Caenorhabditis elegans: one gene and its partners. The protein of the gene in region 3 interacts with the protein of the main gene of each other region in a pairwise test. Each region holds a gene or a part of one and is shown on either strand. Other genes may lie near its edges.

What was found.
Region 1: the proteins of kxd-1 (region 3) and xbp-1 interact in a two-hybrid assay, tested with the Caenorhabditis elegans proteins (one large-scale study listed by BioGRID).
Region 2: the proteins of kxd-1 (region 3) and cox-5B interact in a two-hybrid assay, tested with the Caenorhabditis elegans proteins (one large-scale study listed by BioGRID).
Region 4: the proteins of kxd-1 (region 3) and spdl-1 interact in a two-hybrid assay, tested with the Caenorhabditis elegans proteins (one large-scale study listed by BioGRID).

Annotation. Positions count from the first base shown.
Region 1 is NC_003281.10:4,191,199-4,197,464, reverse strand, and holds xbp-1 (X-box-binding protein 1), read right to left. Parts: upstream 3,657-6,266; 5' UTR 3,483-3,656; coding exon 3,234-3,482; intron 3,184-3,233; coding exon 2,705-3,183; intron 2,651-2,704; coding exon 2,515-2,650; 3' UTR 2,107-2,514; downstream 1-2,106. Other genes in the region: asd-1 (RRM domain-containing protein), read right to left, coding at 138-167; dnj-16 (J domain-containing protein), read right to left, coding at 4,307-4,447, 4,510-5,034, 5,164-5,330, 5,446-5,668, 5,823-5,917, 6,188-6,224. UniProt on the Caenorhabditis elegans protein: Required for transcriptional regulation of the unfolded protein response (UPR) in the endoplasmic reticulum (ER) under stressed conditions, acting downstream of ire-1, and also maintaining ER homeostasis via a negative feedback loop, in parallel with ER kinase pek-1.
Region 2 is NC_003279.8:9,786,561-9,791,880, forward strand, and holds cox-5B (COX5B-domain-containing protein), read left to right. Parts: upstream 1-2,448; coding exon 2,449-2,634; intron 2,635-2,660; exon of another isoform or gene 2,661-2,930; intron 2,931-2,939; coding exon 2,940-3,039; intron 3,040-3,090; coding exon 3,091-3,203; 3' UTR 3,204-3,291; downstream 3,292-5,320. Other genes in the region: tba-1 (Tubulin alpha chain), read right to left, coding at 1-547, 598-830, 1,063-1,064.
Region 3 is NC_003283.11:7,218,190-7,223,829, reverse strand, and holds kxd-1 (KxDL domain-containing protein), read right to left. Parts: upstream 2,362-5,640; 5' UTR 2,352-2,361; coding exon 2,259-2,351; intron 2,201-2,258; coding exon 2,118-2,200; intron 2,069-2,117; coding exon 1,866-2,068; intron 1,817-1,865; coding exon 1,773-1,816; 3' UTR 1,674-1,772; downstream 1-1,673. Other genes in the region: C13F10.7 (CCHC-type domain-containing protein), read left to right, coding at 578-692, 892-963, 1,013-1,494; C13F10.6 (FTH domain-containing protein), read left to right, coding at 2,851-2,985, 3,040-3,178, 3,229-3,931, 4,125-4,473, 4,530-4,616; C13F10.5 (SAYSvFN domain-containing protein), read left to right, coding at 4,841-5,024.
Region 4 is NC_003280.10:7,778,294-7,784,942, reverse strand, and holds spdl-1 (Spindly-like protein spdl-1), read right to left. Parts: upstream 3,378-6,649; 5' UTR 3,357-3,377; coding exon 3,321-3,356; intron 3,273-3,320; coding exon 3,030-3,272; intron 2,984-3,029; coding exon 2,660-2,983; intron 2,612-2,659; coding exon 1,979-2,611; intron 1,934-1,978; coding exon 1,730-1,933; 3' UTR 1,592-1,729; downstream 1-1,591. Other genes in the region: skr-17 (Skp1-related protein), read right to left, coding at 474-978, 1,028-1,065; snpc-1.1 (snRNA-activating protein complex subunit 1), read left to right, coding at 3,734-3,831, 3,880-3,964, 4,015-4,092, 4,138-4,206, 4,252-4,461, 4,506-4,824, 4,886-4,967, 5,014-5,298 and 1 more. UniProt on the Caenorhabditis elegans protein: Transient kinetochore component required for chromosome and spindle pole alignment and chromosome segregation during mitosis.

The DNA of each region.
Region 1 (6,266 bases), on a different chromosome or scaffold from region 3:
ACAAAAATCAATGTTTTGGTTAAAATTATGTGCATAATATGGAAAAGATGAGGGGAGCGCTGGAAGAGAAAATAAAACGCTCGATGTTTTGTTTTTTTTAGTTGGAGAAGAAAATACCTGAAATTATATTGACTCACCACTGTTATTATTTCAGCCGCCGTTGTCATTTGTAGAGAAGATCTGGAACAACAAATATTTGGAAAAGCTTTTTTTTTTCGAAAAGATAGATTTTGAAGGAAGAAAAAAGCTTTAAAAAATCGATTGAGATTTCAAGAAAATATGTGGATTTTTCAAAATAAAAATATGTGCCCAAATGAACGAAAATTTGAGACTTTTAGTCAGTTTCTCAAAAAAAAACTGTATGACTGTTCAAAAATTTCGAAGCATACTTTTCCTTACAGCAGCTGAAATACAGCGACATGTAAAAATTGGAATTTTTGCAATTTTTTCGAAATTTTGAACATTTTTTTGGGAAGTCTCATTATAAGATTCGCTCAGTTGGGCACATTTAGAAATGAATTCCTAAAACAAAATGTACAAACCAAAGCTACTCGTAAAGAAAAACTGAAGTAACATCGGGAAAAAACCCGCTAAAAATGGATAGGAAGGATGATAGAGAATTAGAGAAAAAGAGCGATACACGCGCAACGAGCAGCTCACGAGGAGGCGGGTAACACAGAGGAATGTGGTGGCCTGGGTAAAGCTAGGCCATTGGATCCTGTGCAAAGATTTTTGTGAGCAAAAACTTATTTTTTTGAAGAAATTGTATTGGTTTTTGAAGTTATGAGAAGAAAAAGTCTAGAAACAGATTTTGAAAGGACTGAAATAACGTAAAAGACATTGGAAACTTAATCAAATTTCAATCTACAGTATCTACAGTCTTTCAAAAAAGTTCTGCCTTCAGAGGTAGCTACCAACACTTGAAACGGGGCCAAAACTGGTTGTTCAGTCTCAAAACGACCCTATTTTTCGATAGTTTTCCGTCTTTTTTTTGTGTCATCTTGCCTCATTTTCCTCACTTCCTCTCTCTTTCTCCTCAGTGTTCAAGGTCTTTTCTTTGTTGTGACACGGGAACTAATTTTGATGTGAAGTGATCGGATAAATATTTTGTCATATCAGGAATGAATAGGTGCAAATTACGAATATTTCTTTTCAATGTTTTTTAGGCATAATAGCGAGGAAAAACTAGAAAACACGCTTAAAAATGATGAAGAAGGAAGAAAAATCAGAAAAGACAAACAAATAATTACAGTGATCAAAGGTGCATGCATACAATTTCCAGGTGGGTCTCGCAGCGGTAGGTAATCCAATAAATTTAATAAATATTGCGAAAATGAAGCATTTCGATGCCGATTTCTCTCTAAGAATCGATTCGAATCTACTTTTTTGTTTAAAAGAAGCACAAAAACTCCACTTTTCCTGTGAAAGGGATTAGTACTCGCACTTGAAGAGAAACAAAAAAGTGGAAATAGTGAGTCCTTATTGTGAGAAAATTGAAAAATGGAAAACGAGAAAATGAAAAACCGGGAGGAGAATAGGGAGCTGGAGCGTTGCGAAAATAAACGAGGAGAAAGTGAGGGGGAAAAATGGAAAATAAAAAGACAGATGGGCACCATGTGGCGGCGGAGAATGACCGATTCAATCGATTTTTTAATTGGTTAGTCGTAGAAAAAGTGAGTGAGAGCAGAGGCTATTAAACCAGGATTGAGCGTCTTAAGCTCAATGAGTTCAGCACTTTTTCAATCTGACAACTTTTATATCGAATTTTGTGTTTAGACATATTTTGTATCGTACTAAAGTATTATTCAACAAAAAAAAAACTACAATTTAAAGATCGTCTGAATTTCGAGAAATACGATTTTCTAAAAACGAAAGTAGGGGCCACGTGGTGTGAATCAGTGCATGTCTCTGTATATTTGTGCTATGAAAAAGAAGAGAAGGCGGTACGGGTGGGAACGAAAGATGGATTGTTTGTTTAGACATTTTCACACCATATTCCCTTGAATAATATAAACAAATGTACTGCTTGATGTGAAGAGGCTGCGAGTCTTTTTAATGTAGTCCAGGCAAATAACGAAGGAGTTCCTGCACAAAATGATCAAATCTCAAAAATGTATGGCTGTTTTTATTAAATATACAAATGGGGGAATTGGAATCAATGAGCTTTGGGGGAGGGAAATTTAATAAGGGTAAATAATAATACGAAAGTTGGGGTTGTACAAAAGGAAAAGAGGAAAAGAAGAAAATACCAGAGAGGAAATGGAGAAATTTGGAGAGATTTTTGGGGAGAAAATAATAACGAGGGAAATTCACTAGGACACTACAATAACGATACACCAGATATAAATTAATTTTGGAAGAAATTTAGGTCGATTGAATTTTCGTCGAAAGTTTCAAAGTTCCAGTTTCCGGGGTCGGTAAGCAGCTCGTCGGTTCCAGTTCCAGTTTCGGTTCCACATCCCAAAAGCTCATCATCCCAGTCAGTGCTCGAGCTGCTCATCGACGGGGACATGGCTAGGGAATTCGGCGAAAGTGTTTCACGCGTTTCTGAAGATGTGTACATGGATCCGCTTGAACAAGACGCTGCATAACCGTCTGCTCCTTCCTCAATGTAGCCAGCAACGAATCGATCGAACTCTCCGCTTGGGCTCTGGAAATTTATGAAGTTAATACATAAACATTAGGAAGTTTCTAATTATCTTACCTTGAGATGTTCGAGGATTTGTTCGAGGTGTCCATCTTCTTGTTGCGATCCATGTGGTTGCATAGAATCGAGATGATAGTTAGATACATATCCACACTGATTGTGTTGTTCTTCTTGGAATCCATACGACGGAGTTGGTTGCTGATGTTGTTGTTGATGGAGGTGGATCGGGCCTGTTCCCACTGCTGAGGCTCATTAATGAATGCTGCTGATTCAAAGGCACGGCGATCCTCTCCTCCGACGACGACAACTGGTGCAACCTCACCGACGACTTCTTCTTCGTAGACGACGTTCTGGTAGATGCATGCATCATTGCTGTTCATCAAGTTTTCGTTGTTCTCTTCCATATACATGACGGACTCGTTCTGCTGGTTCATAAGATTTTTATTTTGACGGCGAAGACGTTCGTTTTCAGCGCGGAGCCGGCGGTTCTCCTCCACCAGATCGCGCATCACATCCTCGATCTTTGCTGATCTTTCCTACAAGAATTAAACTTATTTTCAGGGTTCGATAAACATTCAGCACTAACCTTCTTTTTGTCTCTAGCATTTTGGGCTGCGACTCGATTTTTAAGTTTCCGACGATCCATTTTCTCCTCCTGACTCAAATGATTCAGTCGTTCTCTTTTGCGTGGCCCAGATGGTCCCATATCATCGCCAAGAAGTTGTGCGACAACTTGTTCTGTTGGAAGTGCACGCTTGGGAGCCATTCTCTGAGGCTGTGGCGCTGCCACGTGGCGTGCTGGGAGCACATAAATACGTTTTGGATAGTTGCTCATTGTATAGTTCTTCAGTGTAGCGAATATGGGGCTAAAGCCCAGGAATTTATGAAGAAAAAGACTTCTTCTGCTTCTGCGATTGTTGTGATGAGGAAAGTGAGGGTATATGCTAAAGCAACGTCGACAAACGCGTCGCGACCGCAACGCGGCCACGCCTGCAACGAGAAAACGTGTGACGGAGAGAGAAATGAGACATTTTGTTGTTGGCAAAATGTCTATTGCGAAATATCAATGGGAAATGACGTCAAGAGGGAGCTGAGTTGGAACTCGATTGTTTGCCGGAAACGACATGATAAGAATGAAAGTATCATATCAATCTAAAAATTACTGTCTCAAAATTGTAATCAATTCGTAAACAAGCACTATTGAAGTATTGAGGAATATTGAGAAACTCATGAAATTTCGTATGAAAGTATGGAAAATTTGCAATTAAAGAGTACAAAATTTCATAAATGCTAAAAAAAATCATCTCAAAGTTATACTGCTCGCCAAATAAATTTGTGCTGCGAATCTGCTTACAGCGTTAATAAGAAAAAATAAATTTAAAATCAAACTCTAGCCATAAATATTTTATTTATATTTTTCAATCAAGAGCAAAACTAGTAATTTATCTAGAAATTGAGTACAGAACACTTAAAGTTTTGCTAAATTACACCATAAAAAAGAAAAAAAGAGATCTGATGGATCGACATTAGAAAATAGAGGAGAAATTAAATGTTATCAACAATCAATAAATATCGAAACTAACTCTGGAAAGTGAAATTTAAAAAATTTAAAAGACCCATTCTTCTTGTGAAATAGTTTTAAAAAAATCTTGATAGGGATCATTTGAACCATCCAAGGAGACCACCCGATGATTTAGATGGGGAAACTTTCTTGTTATACGGTTCTTGAGACTTCTGGAGAACTTCATTGTAGAGCTCTTCACGATGTGCCAGCGCTTTCAGAATTGTGTCGTCTTGTACCTGAAAATTAAATTTTTGATTAAAACAAATATTCTTTCAGCTTCCGAAGTAAGTAATCTTACCTTCAACTTCGCCACAGCTTCATCATATTTTCTCTTAGCTTCTGTGAATTCTCTTTGGAAATCCAGCATTTCTTTTTTAATAATAGAAATCGATTTCTCCGTATCCTGAATCTCATTCAGTTGCTCGACAGCAGAAGGTTCCACAGGAAGGAAGGTTATTGAATATTTGACATCGCTTATCCAATTATCACCATAAACTGCAATATAATGCTTCCGTGTCTCCAAAAGTGTCGCAGTTTGCATCTCAAAACTATCCAAATAATGAAAAGCCAATGGAGTTTCCTTATCCTCCAAATGATATTTCATTGCATTGAATTCTTGAATATTGGCCACATTGTACGGTACAAAGAACATGTCGGCTTGAGTTCCGGCTTTTCCTCGTTTCCCACTTTCTTGGATCATTCGGACACCTCCTTCTTTATCGAATAACACTAACTTGAATTTACTAGATGAACTTTTACAAATGATAGCAACTCCATTCTTTCGATGTTCTTCCTGTATGTTAATTTCGTAGAAGTGGGCGTGCTGAAATTAATTTTAATATTAGTTTTAGTAGTATTTATAAAATTAAATTTTAAAAAAATTAAACTTAAAATCCATCCGAATTTTTCGAATATTAAATTTTCACATTTCATGGTACAACAAATTTCTCACCTGCTTGCTCACAGAAGAAGTTACAGTCTCCCCGGGAGGGAGTTGTCGTGCCTGAACATCACATTCTTGTCCCATACAAATGTGACGTGCCTGTGCAAGAACTTTTGGGACAATTTGTGTGGGAATAGGTACTCCAAGCTTGCTGAAGAGTGCTCCAAAGACACGACCTGCAATTATTTATATAATTAGAAAAAAAAAGTCCCTGGAATTTTCTGGGTTAACTTTTTCAGTTGTTCTTGGAGAAATCAACGTTTTTAAATGTTATTCTTGAAAATTTCTCACCAACTCCTCCCATTTCGGAGACATCAAATCCTTCAAAGTCCAATTGATTTTCTGATGGACCACTAACATCGTACTGTCTTCGCTTATTTGGATCAGATAAAACTGAATATGCGATTGAAACTTTCTTGAACTCTTCCTGAGCATGAGCATCATTTGGATTACGATCTGGATGGTATTTAAGAGCCAATTTTCGATACGCTGATTTGATTTCTGCCTCGGACGCCTGGAAAATGAATTAATTTCTATTAATTTCGATGATAGGGAGATTAATTTCATTTAAAATACTAAATATATCTTAAACGTTTCCTGGAAATTTCCTGGAGACGAAATATTGCTTTCTTGCATGCCTTCAGATGTCATCCGAAAAAATTAATTACCATTTTCTCTACTCCAAGCAGCTGATAAAAGTCCATTTCCGAAACCTTTGGTTGATCTCCTGGAGTTGTTGCTTTTGACATGGTCGCCGATGTTGCTTCAAAAAATAAAAAATAAAAAATAGTGGAAAAAAGGGAAAAGGAAGGGTGATTCATTTACTTCTTTCGCAATAGGGCAAACATTCGTTTATGTCTGCGTCTCTTTGGAAAGTATTGGAGAAATGTAACGAGAAAAGCCATACATTTTAGGCAGGAAAGATGGAATAGCACAGAGACAGAATCAATATAAAACACGCTCAATTTTGACAATTAGTCGTTCGCTGCTCATGGAAATTAATTGCTGAGAATTAAACAATTATAAATCTTACCCTGTGATGAACGTCTTTTTCCAAACAGCAAAACCATGAAGAAACGATTAAAATATCGAAAAATGTGAATAATTTGGAA
Region 2 (5,320 bases), on a different chromosome or scaffold from region 3:
TTGGTTTGGAACTCATTGAGATCAACATTGAGAGCTCCATCGAAACGGAGGGAAGCGGTGATGGAAGACACAACCTGCGAGATGATGCGGTTCAGGTTGGTGTAACTTGGACGGTCAACGCTGAGGTTTCTGCGGCAGATATCATAGATAGCCTCGTTGTCGACCATGAACGCACAGTCGGAGTGCTCGAGGGTGGTGTGAGTCGTCAGTATAGAGTTGTATGGCTCAACGACGGCAGTCGAGACTTGTGGGGCTGGGTAGATGGAGAATTCCAGCTTCGACTTCTTTCCATAGTCAACCGAGAGGCGCTCCATAAGCAATGAGGTGAATCCAGATCCAGTTCCTCCTCCGAATGAATGAAAGACGAAGAATCCTTGAAGACCACTGCAGTTGTCAGCGAGGCGACGGATTCTGTCGAGAACAGTGTCGATCAGTTCCTTTCCGACGGTGTAGTGACCACGAGCGTAGTTGTTGGCGGCATCTTCCTTTCCGGTGATCATCTGTTCTGGATGGAACAGCTTCTTGTAGGTTCCAGTGCGGATCTCATCTGAAAAAAAAAACAAATTTGAATTTGAAACGGTTTTTATTATTGCTTACCAACAACAGTTGGCTCAAGATCTACAAAAATCGATCTTGGAACATATCTTCCGTTTCCAGTATCGGAGAAGAAGGTGGTGAAAGATTCTCCATCGGCTTGTTGGTCTGATGGCATAGTTCCATCGGGCTGGATTCCATGCTCGAGACAGTAGAGCTCCCAGCAAGCATTACCGATTTGGACTCCGGCTTGTCCGACGTGGATGGAGATGACCTCACGCATGTTGAAAACGAACCTGAAAATTAACGGAAATTAGAAGAAATGAAATCATAAATGAACGCGGATAACATATGGCGTAAAGTACGAATGATAAAATCATAGGAGTCGATCAACTAGGAAACAAGGTCAACTCAATTATAAATAATCCTGTTGACAATTCCGGCTGAATAGTTTTCAGGGCAATAAACCAGATATAAACTTGGTACAAGGTTTACAACAAGTAAATAAAAACAAAACCAGGAACTTACATTAGTTAACGAGATGGAGAAGGTTTGGGATATAAAATTTATGAGCCTCCAAATGAAACAAACCCAATTGCATACATATGAAATGCTAGCTCTCAAGAGTATTGCGAAATAGCGAAAAAGACTCGGACCGTTGAAAACAGAGAGCAATTACGCCCATTGCATCGTGGTACATACACAGCAGTCAAACCCTATTGGGTTCTATGCATCTAGTCAAATGAGAAATGAAAGTCGGGCTGGGAAAGAAAACAGAGCTCTTCGTCATTAGATATTCTGGTGCGAGGAAAGGGTAAAACAACTCAAATTGGAAGACTAAAGACGACAATCTTTTCTGCCTTGCTCTAGACATCTGTCACTTGGATGAAACTGGTCAGAGAGGCAGTGCCGGGTCAGAGAGAGGAACGAGCGACGCTTGTCCGATTGGCCAAGGACAGCGGCGACCCTATTCCTCGGTGGACATGACTAGTAGTGGCCATCTGGTGTATATTGCGAAATAGGTTCTCCACTAAACCTTAATCCGATGTTCATGATATAGACGCTTGGATGTCCTATTCATGAAAATGCAAATATTCATCGGGACGATTCAGATTTCAATGCAAAAAATAATAAAACGAAGTTTAAGTTTCAGTAAATAAGCTATGATAAAATAAATAAAAATTAAAAACATCACAAGCAATAGCACGTAACTAAAGTAGAAGCCGAAATGCAAATCTATAATGATTTTATTAGCCGCTGGAGAAACGAATTCCCTAAAACTAAAGATTCTATTGAACACACAAGTTGCAATATAATCAAGAAAATTTGTTAACAAACAATAAAATGTGGCTCAATATTTACAGCATGTGTAGACAACGAGTCAACTTTCAAACAACTCCATTTTAGGAGCAAATCGAAGAGAGAGAATACGAGCGATTGAGAAGCGAAAAATGAGAAAGAATGACAGCCATCTCCCAATCCTATTGTCGTCTGTTTCGCGCCAAAAAAAGTGAAAATTTCTCCCGAGCGCGCCTAGTGGACGAAACGAATTCAAATCCTCTTCGCATTACGGTGTTTCGTATTGAGGAGCGTCTTGTGCGTTGCAACAGACGCGCGTAGTGTATGCCGAGTGTACGCCGAGTGTACGCCCGCCACTGAGGCTCCGTAAATCGTGCCAAGCGTTTTTGGCTCTTTTCGGCTATTGTTCGCATTTTCAAGGGTCCAATCAGAATATAAGTGTTCTTCAAAAAATTTCTGATTTTTCAAGAGGTTTATCTTTTAATTTAACCCTATTTCAATAAGGCCACCTTCCTTTTTTGATTTTTAGACTCCCGATCGATAATTTTCTTCATTCGAAATCGAATTTATATTTAGTCGTTTTTGATACTTGAGAAATACAATTGTATTTTTCAGATGGCTCAACTTGCTAAGACGGCTGTTGCCGCCCTTTCGAAGAAGCTCGTCGCTCCAGCTGCCGTGGCCCGTCGTACTTTGGCCACTGAAGCCTCGCCAGAAGACTACGGATACTACCCAGATCCACTTGAGCACGCTACCGGACGTGAAAAGAAGATGCTTCTCGCTCGTCTTGCTGGAGATGATGTGAGTTTTTGTTAATAAAATTTAACAATTTTCCCAATAATTTCCAAAGTATACCCCATGATGTATCAATTTAGCTAATTGTGAGCTACTTCGCTCTCGAGATTTTGTCTTGAAGTGTGAGTCGTATTGAACGAACTTTGTCGAAGCTGATCTGAGGGAGATTTGCAATTTGAGTCGTTATCGTATCTAATACTGGTTTTTAATGAGAAAGTGTTTACAAAATGAAACCCATTTAGTAAAAGTGGCAAATTATCTACTATTTCTTCATCTTTTCAAAGTTAAATAATAAAAGTTTCATTCTTCAGCGTTACGAGCCAAAAGTCTACTATCGCGCTGAGGCTTCCACCAAGCAGAAGCCAAATTTGGTCCCATCTCACTACGACTTCAGAATCATTGGATGCATGTGTAAGTTATATTTAAAAGCATGATTGATTCAATTAAACAACTATTTTTCAGGTGAGCAAGATTCCGGACATGTCAATTTCATGACAATTCGCAAAGGAGATCCAAAGAGATGCGAGTGCGGACACTGGTTCAAGGGAGTCGACGCCGACCCAGAATCCATCTAAACAATTTTCAATGTAGATTATTGTTCCGACTTATTTTAGATCGCTCCATCAGTGAAAATAAAACGCGCTGGTTTGAAGACAAACCATTCTGTTTCTAGAGTTGGTTCAATTCGTTTCTTTGTTTTTCGTCAAGATGTCTCCTATTTCTGTAAATTAATTTTTTATCAATTTAACCTACATTTCTTACATGAAAAAATGTTCTTCGTAGGTTTTCCCTGACAATCTCCTGGATTAGGTGGTTAATGTTAAAAATGAACAAAACAGGTGGAAACAACAATCAATGATGCTGTTTCTCCCGTCAACCTCCACAGAATCTAGCTGATAAAAATCTGAGTTCAGATGCCTCGCTCCTCTCATTTTGTTATTGGTTTTCAAAATCACGTGCTGTCACTAGCACATACAATTTTGTTTTTAAATTGGCAATTGTTTGCCTTCATTTCAACAATTTTAAGCTTTCGTGTTGTCGTAGATCGAATTTATACATTTAGAGCCCAGGCTTGAGCATTACATCAAAAAGTAATAACTCACTTCTTCAAAACATTTCCAATTTTCGAACCATTAGTGACTTCCTTTTTCATTTTATCATTTAAAAACATGACGCTAGTTACGTAAAACAAGTTTCCGTACTATTTTGACGAGAACCTTACATTTGTAACATCCTATTTTGAAGTTTCAAAGACTAGAATTTTGTTATTTTTTCGGGTCTCGTGTTCCACTATCGCTTTACCCAATCAGACTGTTTCTCTGCGTATTTTCTTTTTTTTTAAATTCTGATTTTCAATGATAACAGAGTTTCGTGGTCAATGGGAAAACTCGTGTTTGCCCAATTTTCTTGTTCAAATTCAACTTTTAATAGAACTTACATAAATAACAAATCTAGGTAATATTTAGATTGTTTCTTATTAAAAAAAACATAAATTAATTAATTTTAATTAAAAACAAAAGTTAGGAGATTTTTTGCCAGTGTTCTATGACGCCTGCGCTTCATAAACTCTAAACGAGCTTTCTCGCGACAAACCATGGCGCAGCTTGCTGCCAAATTAAAATTACCCCTCCCTCCATTGCCATCTCAAAAATTCAGAAAAAAAACGGCGTTACAAGTTCAAAACCAGTAGGAACTCAGTATTTGTGTGTCTCGAGGGTTGATTCTCTTCTCATTGACAGCCTTCTCGCATGTGCGTGTGTCTGTGTGCGCATCTTTTCGTCTCTTTCTCGTCAAAATCAATATTCTCCGTGAGACGAAATAGTGTAACAGGATGAAGAGGGTGGGTAGAGATGTTAGAAAGCTCCTGCTGAACTCGCTTTGGCACTGGAACTCTTTTTCATCGTGAAGAAATTCCTTTGAACTATTTTTTCCTACTAGGGTTTTTTTCAGTTAGTGTTATTCAAACTCATATCCATTTTATATGATTTTTATTTAATCGTAACAGAATTTACAATGAATCAGCTTTCCCCCCACGTGACGTCAATTTGCCATCTTGTTATTCGTCGTCTGACTATTCTGACAACGATAGAGTATCGAAAATCCCCACGAGAAAAATTACTAGACGCTGAGAAAAAAGGAAACCTTTCTCTCATTTTTTTGTTTCGCTCAACTACTCTCTAACATTTTCTTCGTTTTCCGAAACGGAAATCTTGGATAATCGGTTGTTATGGCCCGTTTCGGTGATCCAAACAATTTTACTTTTTCATACATTTTCCATAAAAGCCTCCAAGCTTCAAAAATTGATTTTTTTCCAATTTTATCAAATTTCTCTTGCCTTAATGATTAAATAATTAATTAAGTAATATAAGTTGAGGAATGTGTTTTAACAAAAAAAAAATGGATCGTAAATACTGTCAAATTTTTTGAAAATACAATTTTTCTAAATATTTCTAATAATCTTTTTTAATTTAGCAAAAATTAAAATGTTGAATTAATTTCGAATTCCCGCAAAAATGAATCACCTAGTTTCGAAAATTAAAAATTCCATGTTATTGTTTTTATCTCAATTTCTTTCAGGTTATCAAGTTTCCCTCACGGAAAATTGATGAAAATTTGGCAAAAAATGTTTCAAATTAAATATTAAAAATATAGATTAATGCGAGGGAATTTCGGAAAAAATCATTCTAAAAAT
Region 3 (5,640 bases):
ACGAATTCTCGTTTTCTGTGGTTTTGAGTAGTAAATTAATAGATTATCCTCGAAAAAACTCGACGAAAATACACAAAATATGAGATATTATTGACGATTTAATAATCCAGAAATTTGAAAACTTGCAGGGTTATAAACCAGGAGTGCTTTTCGAACATTTTCGAGAAGTTTGCATAAATTTGCATCAGATAATACCTTTTTTCTAATTAAAAATATTTTATTCAAAATTTCAAACAACACCGTGCTAATGTGCTCTAGTGGAAAAAATCGTATTAATTTCGAAACTTTTCATATTTCTTTCTCACTTCTTCCATTGCTGCTTTTCACTTTTCTTGATAGTTCTCTTTTTTTTTGTTGAAAAAAATCTTATTTTTAAATCTTTTCAGCATGTTTTCCAATTCTTCTATGTTCTCTGATTAAAAAGCGCCGAAAAATCGATAATTTTTCTATAAAACCCATCTTCCCTTGAGAACAGTTCTTCCCCTCTAAAACGCGCATAAAACCAGCGTCTTTTACCACCTCTTCACGTTATTTTTTGCTTATTTTTAGTACTCCCTAATATTCACTACAATTACAGATGGCGAACGCTAACCTGACTCCGATGCCGTTTGTGCGAAAATTCGGATCTACCAGTACAACTGTAACTACCACAACTGACACAGATAGCCCATTATCAAAAGATGATGAGTCAGGTAAGTAATCTTAAATTTTCAAAAATTAAATTACTATGGATTTATTCGCAAAAAAAATGTTTCCGAACAAAAAACAATTTAGGGGACGAAAAAAGCGAAAAAAAACTTTTTTGAAAACGACTCCAAAAAAGAAACTTGGTTTTTTGGAAAAAAAGTATTTATAAATTTTTCAAAAAAAAAACTCAAAATCTACTTTCAGGTAAAAAACCTTCACTTGCTTCCCTAGCACAGTCAGCGTTCCCATCAAGATACGACCCGAACGCCTTTGTAGGTACGGTAGTTCATAGGAAATTAAAATCACATAATTTGTTTAATTTCAGATATATCAGGTGCCGCAATATCTGCCCCCGCAGTCACGGGAGCATGCAAAAGATGTGGATATCCGGGTCATCTATACTTCCAGTGTCGAAATCACATTGAAGTACGTCCAAATGTATCGACAAAAGCGTACGAGGTCAGTTCGACATCATCTGAATCAAGTGACGACGAGACTCCGCTCATTGCTTTGGAAAAGCAGCGGAAAAAGGAGAAAAAGCTGAAAAAGAAGGCGAAAAAAGAAAAGAAGAAGGCGAAGAAACTCGAGAAAAAGGAGAGAAAGAAGGAACGGAAAGAGAAGAGAAGGCGACGAGATGATTCTGATGATAGTAGTGATTCTGATGAGGAAGAGGATAGAAAAAGGAAGAAGAGCAAGGAAAGTAAAAAGGAAAAAAGAAAACGCCGTCATTCTTCCTCAGATGATAGATCAGCTTCTTCCGATTCTGATGATGACTGTCGTGACTCGAAACGTCACCGTAGATCATAATCGTGTAATATTGATATTTTAACTCTAAATTTTTATTCCGACAGTAACCACCTCCACATTAATATTTTCTCTATTCAAATTTCTATTGTTTCTCTTGTGTCAAAAAGTCCCCATAGTGAAGTTACTAATTAAATTAAAAACAAAAAATTTTATAACTTATTTCGACTTCACTTTAATCAAAAATTTGAGATCTTTATTGAATTTCTGTGACTTGTATTTGTTCCAAATGATCTGTTATTTTTTTTCTTCTTGTTTTTCAATTACGAATAAATTGTATTTCATTCGTCTTCCTCGCTTCGTTTTGGCGTTAGCTCGGCTGACACTGAAATTTGATGAACTTTTTAAAAGTATTCAAATTAAAATATCTGCACCTTCAGCATAAACTTCTGGATACTTTGACGACAAAACTGTTTTGAACATGCGAATTTTTTTGAAAATAAATTCCAAATCAGTTTTCATCTGCAGAATTGTCTCTTTGTGTCCCACAGAATCCCTTTTTGCTTTTTCAATTCTTCGATCGCCGAGTTGAGCGCAATTCATGAGCATTTCATTTGTCTTTTCGAAGCGTTTCAAGCTGAAAAAAAAAGAAAAATCAATAAATTCTAAATTCTCCAGTATATTACCTCTGTCTCTGAGTATCAATTATGCTTTGAATTGTGAATTCGTCGATTTGAGAAGTGAGCGAATCGATGAGATGTGGTGTTTCCTGCATATTATTAAATATTTTTATTCCTTTTTCCCATTATTATTATTAGAAAGCTTACGGGCATGTCAAATGAAGAGCCAGCGTTGCTTCTTGATGGGAAAAACGGGTTGCCAGGTAGTCGTTCTTGTTGTTGGTGATTTTTCTCAGCCATTTATAACTGAAACAAAAAATTATTAATAAATGTTTTATTCTAGACACAACAAGACATAAAACATGAATAACGGCTGAAGCAGGGATTGAGAAAAACAAGAAAAAAGCATGAGAAAATGGAAGAAAAGAGCCGCGCGCTGTGAGTGTGCAACTCGAAAATGTCAAAGCAAATTTATCGATTTACGCACGCGCGCACTTGCTGACACGCATCTGGACGGCGTTCCGTTTCATTTGAAAATAGTTAAAATTAAGCTAATTGTTGATTTATTTATTGAATATCAATTATAAATCTTTTCACGAGAATCCATTAGTGACCACCACCACGCTCCGCTAGTCTCCCCGCACCTTTATCGATTCGATTCGGTCAACCGAATGTTTGTTCAAGCTGTTGCGCATAGATTTGTGTTCTTGTTCCGCTCATATCACATATATTTTTGCAGTTTTTGATGCCAAATGGTGAGGAAACGAAGACGTTACTATACTGGAATGACATGCTAATGATGAAGATTATCGAATTTGTTGAGAGGTTCAAAGATCGAAATTCACTGGAGCTTTCGAGTCGAAGATTGAGAGAATTGTGCTTGAAAACTCCGATTTCTGGAAATTTTGCGATTCGATTGGAAGAAGATCCTAATGTGAGATTGCTTATAATTATTTTAAACCTGTATTATAATTATGTTTTATTTCAGTGGCCATCAATTCTCACTCTTCTCATGCGACCTCGTAATTTCTCGTCCCGTCTTTCAGTTCGAAACTGTTCAGATGTTCCTGAAGATGAACGTAGCGAAATAGTAGGCTATAATTACAAGGATACTATTCAAAATCCAGGTAATTACTGCAAAAACGATAATTTTCAGGAATTTATTATTAAATTTAAGATGTTTTCTTCAACGGAGTCAGCAAGCGACTTCTCAATCGGATAGTGGAGTTTGAAATTAGATGCCGTCGATTTACTGTACAAATTCTGGACAATATAGAAAAGTTTCCCAAATTAAACAGAATCATTGTGAGAAATGCACGAAACTTTTCGTTTGAATTGGATGAGGAATCAGGCGACGCCGCCGTTTTGGATCGAATCGAATCATTGGAACTTCATCTCGATCGACAATGGTGTACGGAAATTGAACGAATGAAACGACTAATAAATCCAAATTTGAAACATTTCTGCTGCCACGTCAATCCGAGCCTATCTAAAAACTCGTGGTTCATTGAAGAAATTATGGTCGAGATGGCATTGCATGAAGTTCAACTGGAAACGTGTCAGCTGGTTTTTCCTGATCCACAAATGCCGCGAAATCTTATTATTGCTTTGACTCAATTCATGTCGGATAGATCACGAGTTTTACAAGTATTCATCACAAATGGACCATATAATCTTTCACCGACAAGAAAAATGATTCCAACTTTGAATATTCAATTTCGAGACGAAGAGGATAATACTGTCAAGGATCTAGCTGATGCTTGCCCGTCGATATTCAAAAAAGCAGAAGTTATTCATATGACGAATCTTCACGAAGACGGCTTTATTCAACTCGAAACGGTTCTGCCGATAATGTACTCTGTCAAAGAGCTTCTCATATCGTATGTTCAATTTTCGAAAAAAAAAGAGTAGAGTCGTTTGCAAAATTGAAAAAAAAAAATAATACAAAATTTAGAATAATTTTATACATTTTTAAGCATCTTATATTCGGTATACTGAGACTGGTTACTGTAATTTATGGAAAAAAACCACTGTCTCTACTCCACTTTTTAATTTAAAAAAACAATTTTTCAGAAGCTGCCCTCAGAAAGAAGAGATCTGTCCAATCGATCAAATTCTTGCATTCATTCCGTCAACAGTTCGAACACTTTATCTAAATGACTGCAAGCTGACTCCATCTTCCATTGATCTATTAATTTCCCGATGTTCTACAACTCTCCGGAATCTACATTTTCATAATAATGGATCTTGTAATACTGTACAAAATTTCACAAAACTTTTGGATGGCCTTCAAGAACTAAGAATATTAGAACTGGATATGTTAATTCCGCATCTTTTATTCCCAAAAATTGTGGAGCACCAGAAATTAGAAAAACTCATTGGACTCGTGAACGGAACTCTACCGGAAAATTCATTAGAAATTGTAAGTTTAAATTCTAAAAATTATTTTTTTTTTTCAAAATTTGTGAATATTTTCAGCTACGCCAACATTTTAACCACGTCAATCTCAAGAAAATTGATCGTCAAAAACATCAACTCACGGTTTCCAATCCATCTCATCACTGATCTCCAAAAAAAAACCATATTTGATCTCATTTCTGTGATTTTGAAAATTAAACGAAAAATCTAAATAGTCGAAAAATTTTATAAATAAGTTTTAATTTTTATTTTTGAACTTTTCAGTTTGTTTTTTGATGGTTCGTAAATCCATTAATATTATTTCAAACGACTTCCCAATTTTTAGTTTCAAATTTTAAATAGCTCCCCTCCTCTTTAGAAGATCCATAAAAATGAGTGATGTGCTCCGAAACCTTCAAGAATTTCGAAAAGAGAAAGAGAAAATAAAGTTAAAAGAAAGGCAAGAAGTCGAGCAAACTACACAAAAAGACGTGGAAAATGTGATAAAGAAAGAATCGCCGAATGGACGGGAATGGAACTTTTTGACAAAGGCTGAGCCGGTGCCAGAGGATTATGGTGAGCTTTTTTTTTTGGAAAAGAATCGAAAAGTTGAGATATTTGGAAAAAAACTTTAAAATTATTAGAAAACTTTTCTCAAAGTAAAAAAAAAACCATTTTGCATTTAAAACCCTATTGAAATTATGTTTTAAAACTTTATTTCGATGAAAAACGTTTTTTTTTAATTTTTGAAATTAATTTTAAAACAGATTTTTTGCTCGAAATGCCTGAAAACAGTTTCAATAAATCAAATTAAAATGAAACAAATAAAATAAAAATTGTTTCCAGTCGATGCAAAAAACATGAAAAAAAATATTACACGGACGCAAAAATTTCCAATTTTTATCCGAAAATACGGTACCCGGTCTTGACACGACAAATTTTTGCTAACTAAATGCGAAAGAGTGCGCCTTTAAAGAGTACTGTAATATCAAAATCTTGTGGCTGTGGAATTTTCATTGTTTTTTCATACTTTTTCTCAAGATTTTTTACTGTTTATATTAGTTTTTAAATATATAATATAAAAAATCGATGAAAATTCCACAGAAAAAAATAGTTCAAAATTACAGTACTCCTTAAAGGCGCACACATGCATCAAAAAACTTTCTCCCGTTTTCTTCTTTCCTATCCTGAG
Region 4 (6,649 bases), on a different chromosome or scaffold from region 3:
GGTACAATGGTGGTACGGTAGGAGTACTGTATGATTACGGTAGTTTCAGAAAAATTGGTTTTCAGCTCCAGAAGTCGGGGGCCGCGCCGGAGGTGCGGTCCACGGCTGGTATATATATAATACTGGAGGCGGTCACTCAAGCATCCATCAAGAAATTATGACTTCCGGAAAAAATTTTCAGATCCATATGATTGCGATGAAAACTTCCGACGCCTAGGAAAACCTCTATTGATGGCAACATCTAGTACTCATTTTCTTGTTTTTCCATGATTTCAACTACATACAAATGTGATTTTTTATAAAGTAATTTTCATTGAGCGATCCTATGCAATTTTAAAGATATAATAAATAACAAACAAAAATAGTATTCAAAGAATAACTCGATTGCAATTTGACATGGCTGAAATGATTGTTTCCATAATACCGGTTTTGTGCAATTGAAATATTTGAAGATCGAAGATAGTAACAGAAAATTAATCATCCCATGTAGCAGTCGATGTAGATGGTTGTTCCCATGGTTCAGGTATTCCGAAAAGTTCTCGCATTTCCTCGGCATTTTTTCCTTTCGCAGAATTGGCAACTGTTTTGCAGCCGTAATTGATAAGTCCGGTAACGTCCAAATGATATGCAGCAGTAATCAGATCGAACAAATTTGACATTGGCAGTCTACTGAGAAAATGTCTATCCCAGGAAGGAATGCAAATATTTTTCTTGTCCTTCTCGGCCAGTGCAATTGCAGGATCATCTTCTTTGTGTTTATCGCACCATTCAATCAGTAATTTTAATGTAAATCCAACAACATTGTTCACAGGTACCGGTTTTAATTCAGCACAGTATTCCTTGTCATATCCTAGCTCTCTGATGGTTGCAGCAAGTGTACTTGAGAGGAGGAGGGCCCGGATGTCTCCCTGCAACAAATGTCCATCTGAGGATGTCAGTTGAAGTAATCGAGGTGGCGGACCGGACGGCTTTGGTACACTAAACGAAATATTAGATAATTATTTTTATCAAAATGTTATAAAAATACCTTGGTGGTGCTCGTTTTGTATTGTTCTTCTTCGGCATCTGCTTTCCGGACGAAATGTGATGTCTGAAATGGAAAAATTAGAAAGGAAACGAAATTTTGCTGAGAAAATGATCTTAAAAACTTTTTGTCGAACACCATTCGCCACAGAGCGCATTTGCGTTCTTGTTCTACTTCATTCGGCGGCAAATTCAAATTTTAAAACACCCTCGCACAACACAAAAAATCATCGTAAATATTAAAAACGATCAATATCATGCGAACCCCACACCAGAACAAATTCGAACGGTTTACAATTTTTAAATTTTAAGCTCTCTCAAATGTTACTAGTAGTAAGAACTGAACCTATATCGAAAGCATATCCATACGAGATCTCCGAAGATTGTAGGGAAGAGAAAATCTGGAAAATATTTTTCTATATTCTACCCCATATTTACAATAATAAATATTAAAAATATATAAATCAATAAGTGATCGTGTAATATCGATAGGGTTTCGCGCTCCACTGCACTCCCGCCAGCGGCTCTATCAAGTTCTTGAACATCAACAATCTAAGAATGAGCGTTATAATAAAAATAATTTTATTTGACATGCATTAAATAGGAAACATTGTAGAATAATCGACAAAACTTGGTGAATAGAGGGGACGAGATCAATACAGGCGGTTTTATATGAATACGAGATGACTACGAACATGATGTTTACTCAGTTTTCCTTTGTTTCTGAGGTTGATGGCATTTGAAGAACAGCCGGTTTGAATTTTGGAACGGGCTCGGACAGTTTGATATAGTTGTAACGCGGCGTCGGAGTCGCCAATTTCTTTTCAGCTTGAGCTTTCATACGACGTTCTGCCCATTCTGAAGTATCATCTTTGATGGAGGAACGAGTGGTGAATTTAGCTGCTGGTTTCTGGAAAAATAATTATTTATAGTGAAAAGTTGCACTTTTATCTACCTGTGGCGTAACGGCAATACTGGATAATGAATGCCCTAATTGAGGCATGGGTTCCACGTTTTTCGGTTTAATGAAGAATGATGGTCGTCCATTGTTAAGAGTTTTCAGAGGAGCAGCAAGAAGCGGGTGCTCGAAATCCTTATTGACAACTGGTGCAGCTTTTCTGTGAGCACATTTATTGTCGAATTGTAGTTGCACAATGTCCGCTTTGAGATTTTCTACTTCCTGTTGCAATCCACGAATAATTGTCACGTACTTTTCGTTGTCCTTCATCAAACCGTCAAAACCTCCTTTCACGCTCGCAATTGACAATTCGAACGACTTGAAGTAGCCGGTAATCAACGCTCCCACTTCGCGTTTTGGAATTGACCTCATTTTAATGAACATTCTTTCCCACAAATGAACCCTTTCCGTTTCCAGGTGACAAACTCTGTCTCTGAGACGACGCATCTCTTTGACATCAATATCACTTGTGGTCATTCGGGTAACGTTGAATCTTTTTGTGGATGACCGAAGTCTTTCTTCGACTTCTTCTACTTCCATTCGAAGACGTTTTACCATCCCTTTCAGTGCTCGATTCTCTCCATGAAGAACTTTCAGGTCTTCTTCAACCTTCCGCTCGGCATCAATAACCTGAAGAATATTAAAAAAAATGCAGTTAATTGATATTTTTTAACCTACCTCAGAAAACATTGAATTTCCGCGTGCCGCTAATTTTCCTTCATGGGAGTTTCTCTCATCAAAAAGCTCTCCTTCCAATCTGGCAATTTCCTCATCACGCGTCTCCATATGATTTTTGAGGTCCCGAATATGATCCATCATCGACTCAATTTCATCTTTCAAGTTGACCGCTTCTTTTTCGAGTTCGGCGTTTCGTTCGTAAAGAGCAGTCGCCGTCTCTTTGTATTTCTGACAATCTTCGCTAATACGAAGCATTTCAGATTCTCCGAAGGAATTGGAATCATCATGTTCGGGAATCACTGATCCGTTGGCAAACTCCTTATTCTGAGAATTCAATATATTAATGTTGCCCACAATGATGAAAACCTACAATTTTTTCGAGTTTGTCGATCTCACTACGCAGTGAATCGATGAGAGCGTCCCGATCAAGAATTGTGGCGTTTTTTCCGTCCATCTCAACATGAAGATCGCGAAGTTGTTCACTCAATTCTTGTGCACGTTCTTCGAGTGAAAGTTTGGAAGAACAAGGTTTTCCCTGATTTTTGAGATCGTCTTCCATCTCCTCGAGCATTTCATCTTTTTGACGGAGAATTTTCTTGAGCCTCTCAACGTCCTGAAATATTAGGTTTAGTTGGTAATAGATGAAATGATAAAACGTTACAGCAAGTAATTGGAGCTTCTCCTCGTCGTCAGGCATACTGATTGAAGTTCGATTCTTCTGAAAACATGAAAATGTTTCGATAGAAAACGATCAGTAGAATATTTTTCACGGCAACACGATTTATAAGAACGTTTCACGCAGATCTATAGCTTTTGATGTTTTAATAAAGCGTAAAATTGATTGCGAATATATTTAAACTAATTTTATGGGAATATTTTGAGCTAAATTATATCAAAACGATTGAAAAACAATATTTTTAGGTAAATTGAGGCGCAACTCATTTTGAAATGCGTTGAATACCGCTGGTTCCCGCCGAGAATTGGTTGTTCACGATAGAGCGCACTTGCATGTTTTTATTTTCGTCAATTATTTTCGGATTTATTTCTGAAGATTCAAGGAAAAAACGAGTCGCAATGGCTTCTGGAGGTATTCCCACGCCATTTATGGGAACTGGAGTTAAACAAGATCTTCATTTATTGTGCAACAAGTTTATATCTATGGGATCCAACAGGTATAGTTAGAAAATGTATTATTTGATGGAAAATCTTGATTAATTAAGAATTCGAGACTTTGCTGATGTTTTTCGGGATATGCATTTTGAGACCATTCTTCATTATCGATTAAATCCTGCCGAATGCTTAGAGGTAGCTTTATTTTGATTTTATTTAGTCTATTATAATATTCCGGCTTTCAGTTTACTGAATACCTGTTACAACACGCAGCAATGTATTTCGGAAAAGTGAATGAAGTTGGAGCATTCAGGGCATTCAAGGTTTGAAATAGAAGTAAAAATAAGTCTGAAATGTTATATTTTCAGGAGAGGCTATTCGGAGTTTATGTTTGCTATGCGTTGTACAATTTGCAGCCAGTTGATCATGTCTGTCAGGTGATTAATTCTAAGTTTAATTTAGTTTTAAAAAATTTAATTCAGATTCCGGTCACTGCGGTACAATTCGAAGAGCTTCTCGAATTTCAAAAATCTTTAGAAGTCGAAAAACTTCTTGAACCAATTGCGGCTCTCAAAATGCTTATTCTGAAGAAAGCGTTTAGAATTAAAGTGTTTCAGTCGACATATGATCCGGCAACCCACAAAAAATACCTTGCCGAGGAAGAGTTGCCCTATTTTAACAAAATTCCAGTTGTAAGTAAGTTAAATTATTGGAATTTTTTCATAAACAGTTTCAGGAGCCGTTTTCCAGTGTTACGAAAATGCTCAGTTCTGATATTATGACGGAATTATCATTTATTCACGGAGTTTACACAGAGGCTAAGCAAAAACTTGGACTAAGTGATACTCTAACGGGGCTCAAATCACCATTACACGAAATCAAGGGCATTGTCGAAAAATATAAAGAACAGTTCGAAAGTTCTCCAACAAATCCAGAAATTAGTAGCGCTCCAGAGGAAACAGCTGGTTCAAGCAGATCAACTTTGAGAAGTAAAGCATATGCTGAAGGACTAAAACACACTAGACAAAGAAGGCATCTTGATCCAAACATGGAAGGTACATTTATTACACGAAAATATGTTTTTTTTTTTCAAAAGTCAGCGTTCAACTTTTGCAGAAAACTTCAAACATCTTACCGCAAGAACGTTTGGTGACATCGCCCAGGAATGTTTGGATGATAATGATGCTCAGGTTCCAATGTAAGCAATTACAGTTTAACCCCAAAATAATAACCTATTTTTACAGCCCGATTGATCGCCCTGTAAGACAACGGCGACGCAGAAAAACGACAACAGTTAATCCTGAAGAGTTATTAGACGATAATGCATTGGCTGAAGAAGTTCTACGAAATGAGTATGCTGCCAGAATAAAGCCTGAAATACCTGAAGATTCATTGGGCGGTAAAGTAGGCAAGCAGGGAACATCGGGAGTTGCAAGAATTCGGGCACCAAAACGTGCAAATGCGAAATTGGTTGAAGTGAAACGAGAACAAATCCCACAAACTTCTGCTCCGATAACTGCTTCCCAAATGTAAGTGAAGATTTTTGTTTTTTTCTTCAATTAAAAATTATTAAATTATTCAGTGACGAATCATTCACATCGCCTGCGAACAAGAAGAACAGAAAATCGGCCAGCGTAGTTGAAGTGAAACCTCGAATCAGTGATGAATGGGCCAACAAACTGCACGCATGGCATGGACAAGTCGAGGCTACGGATAAACATTTGAAAAAGTTGACAAGTCAAATTAAGCTGGAAGTTATTGAAGACGAAGAAACATAATCATTTCATTTTCCTTGCTAACCATTTTTTTTAATGAAAATTATACTACATGAATTTTTTTTTTGAAAATTAAATTAAATTTGCTGCTGAGTTGCCTATCATCTCCGACTTTTGTTATTTTATTAATCTCTGTTGGTTCAATCTTTTCAATCTTATACTTTTATCTGTCCAACTTCCAATTATCACCAGTGATAAATCGCCGCAAAAGACCAATTGAAATGGCCTGATATCGTGCATTACATGATTATTTCATACAGTTATCATCTTGTGCTGTAGCCCATTCGTGAAAGCATTGAGTGCACTTTTCAGAATCTTGTTGTAGTTCTACTGAAAATTGGTTTTAATCCTATAGGATAAAATTTTCGTTTGTGATGGGAAGGCAGTATTGAGAAATTGTGGTTTTCGTTTGAAAACGTACTATGCTAAAGTTCTCTTCAAATGACGATTAGTTCAAGGTCTTGCTTAGTTTCCCATTCTTTCTTGAGATACTATCAAATAGTAACTATCTACGACTTTCTTACTTATCCTTTTTTTCTAGAACGCATCCGTATTTTCTCAGTTACTCTTGCACCAAATAACTTATATGACTGCAGATATCAGAAAATATTTAATATGTTATAAAAACTACAAAAAAAAAATTTTGTTTTGAGAAAACAACAGAATTTTCAAAGTTGAATAATAGAGCAAATACCTAAATGCTAAATTTCGCTGTTTAAAAATTACGGTACCCGGTCTCGAAACGGCCAATAATTTTCAGTGAAAGGAGAGGAGTGCGGTTTTAAGGAGTACCGTTGTTCAATTTTTCTTAGTTTTCACACTCACTGTTTATTAAAAATTGAAGCTTAAAAAACAGGAAACGATAAAAAACTAAGAAATCAGCAAACTGCTGAAACTACTGTACTCTTTAAAGGCGTACACTTGTTTTTGTTGACATATTTTTAATCGTGTCAGGTACCGTACAACATGGCACTGGCATCTCCATATAAACATCACTGCATAAGACAAACAAAGAGAAGTTCCACGTTGAACTATTTGGCAAATTTTTGGCAAAACATTATTGTTGTTGCCCCGATAACAACCCAACCAAATCGTTCACAGGTCA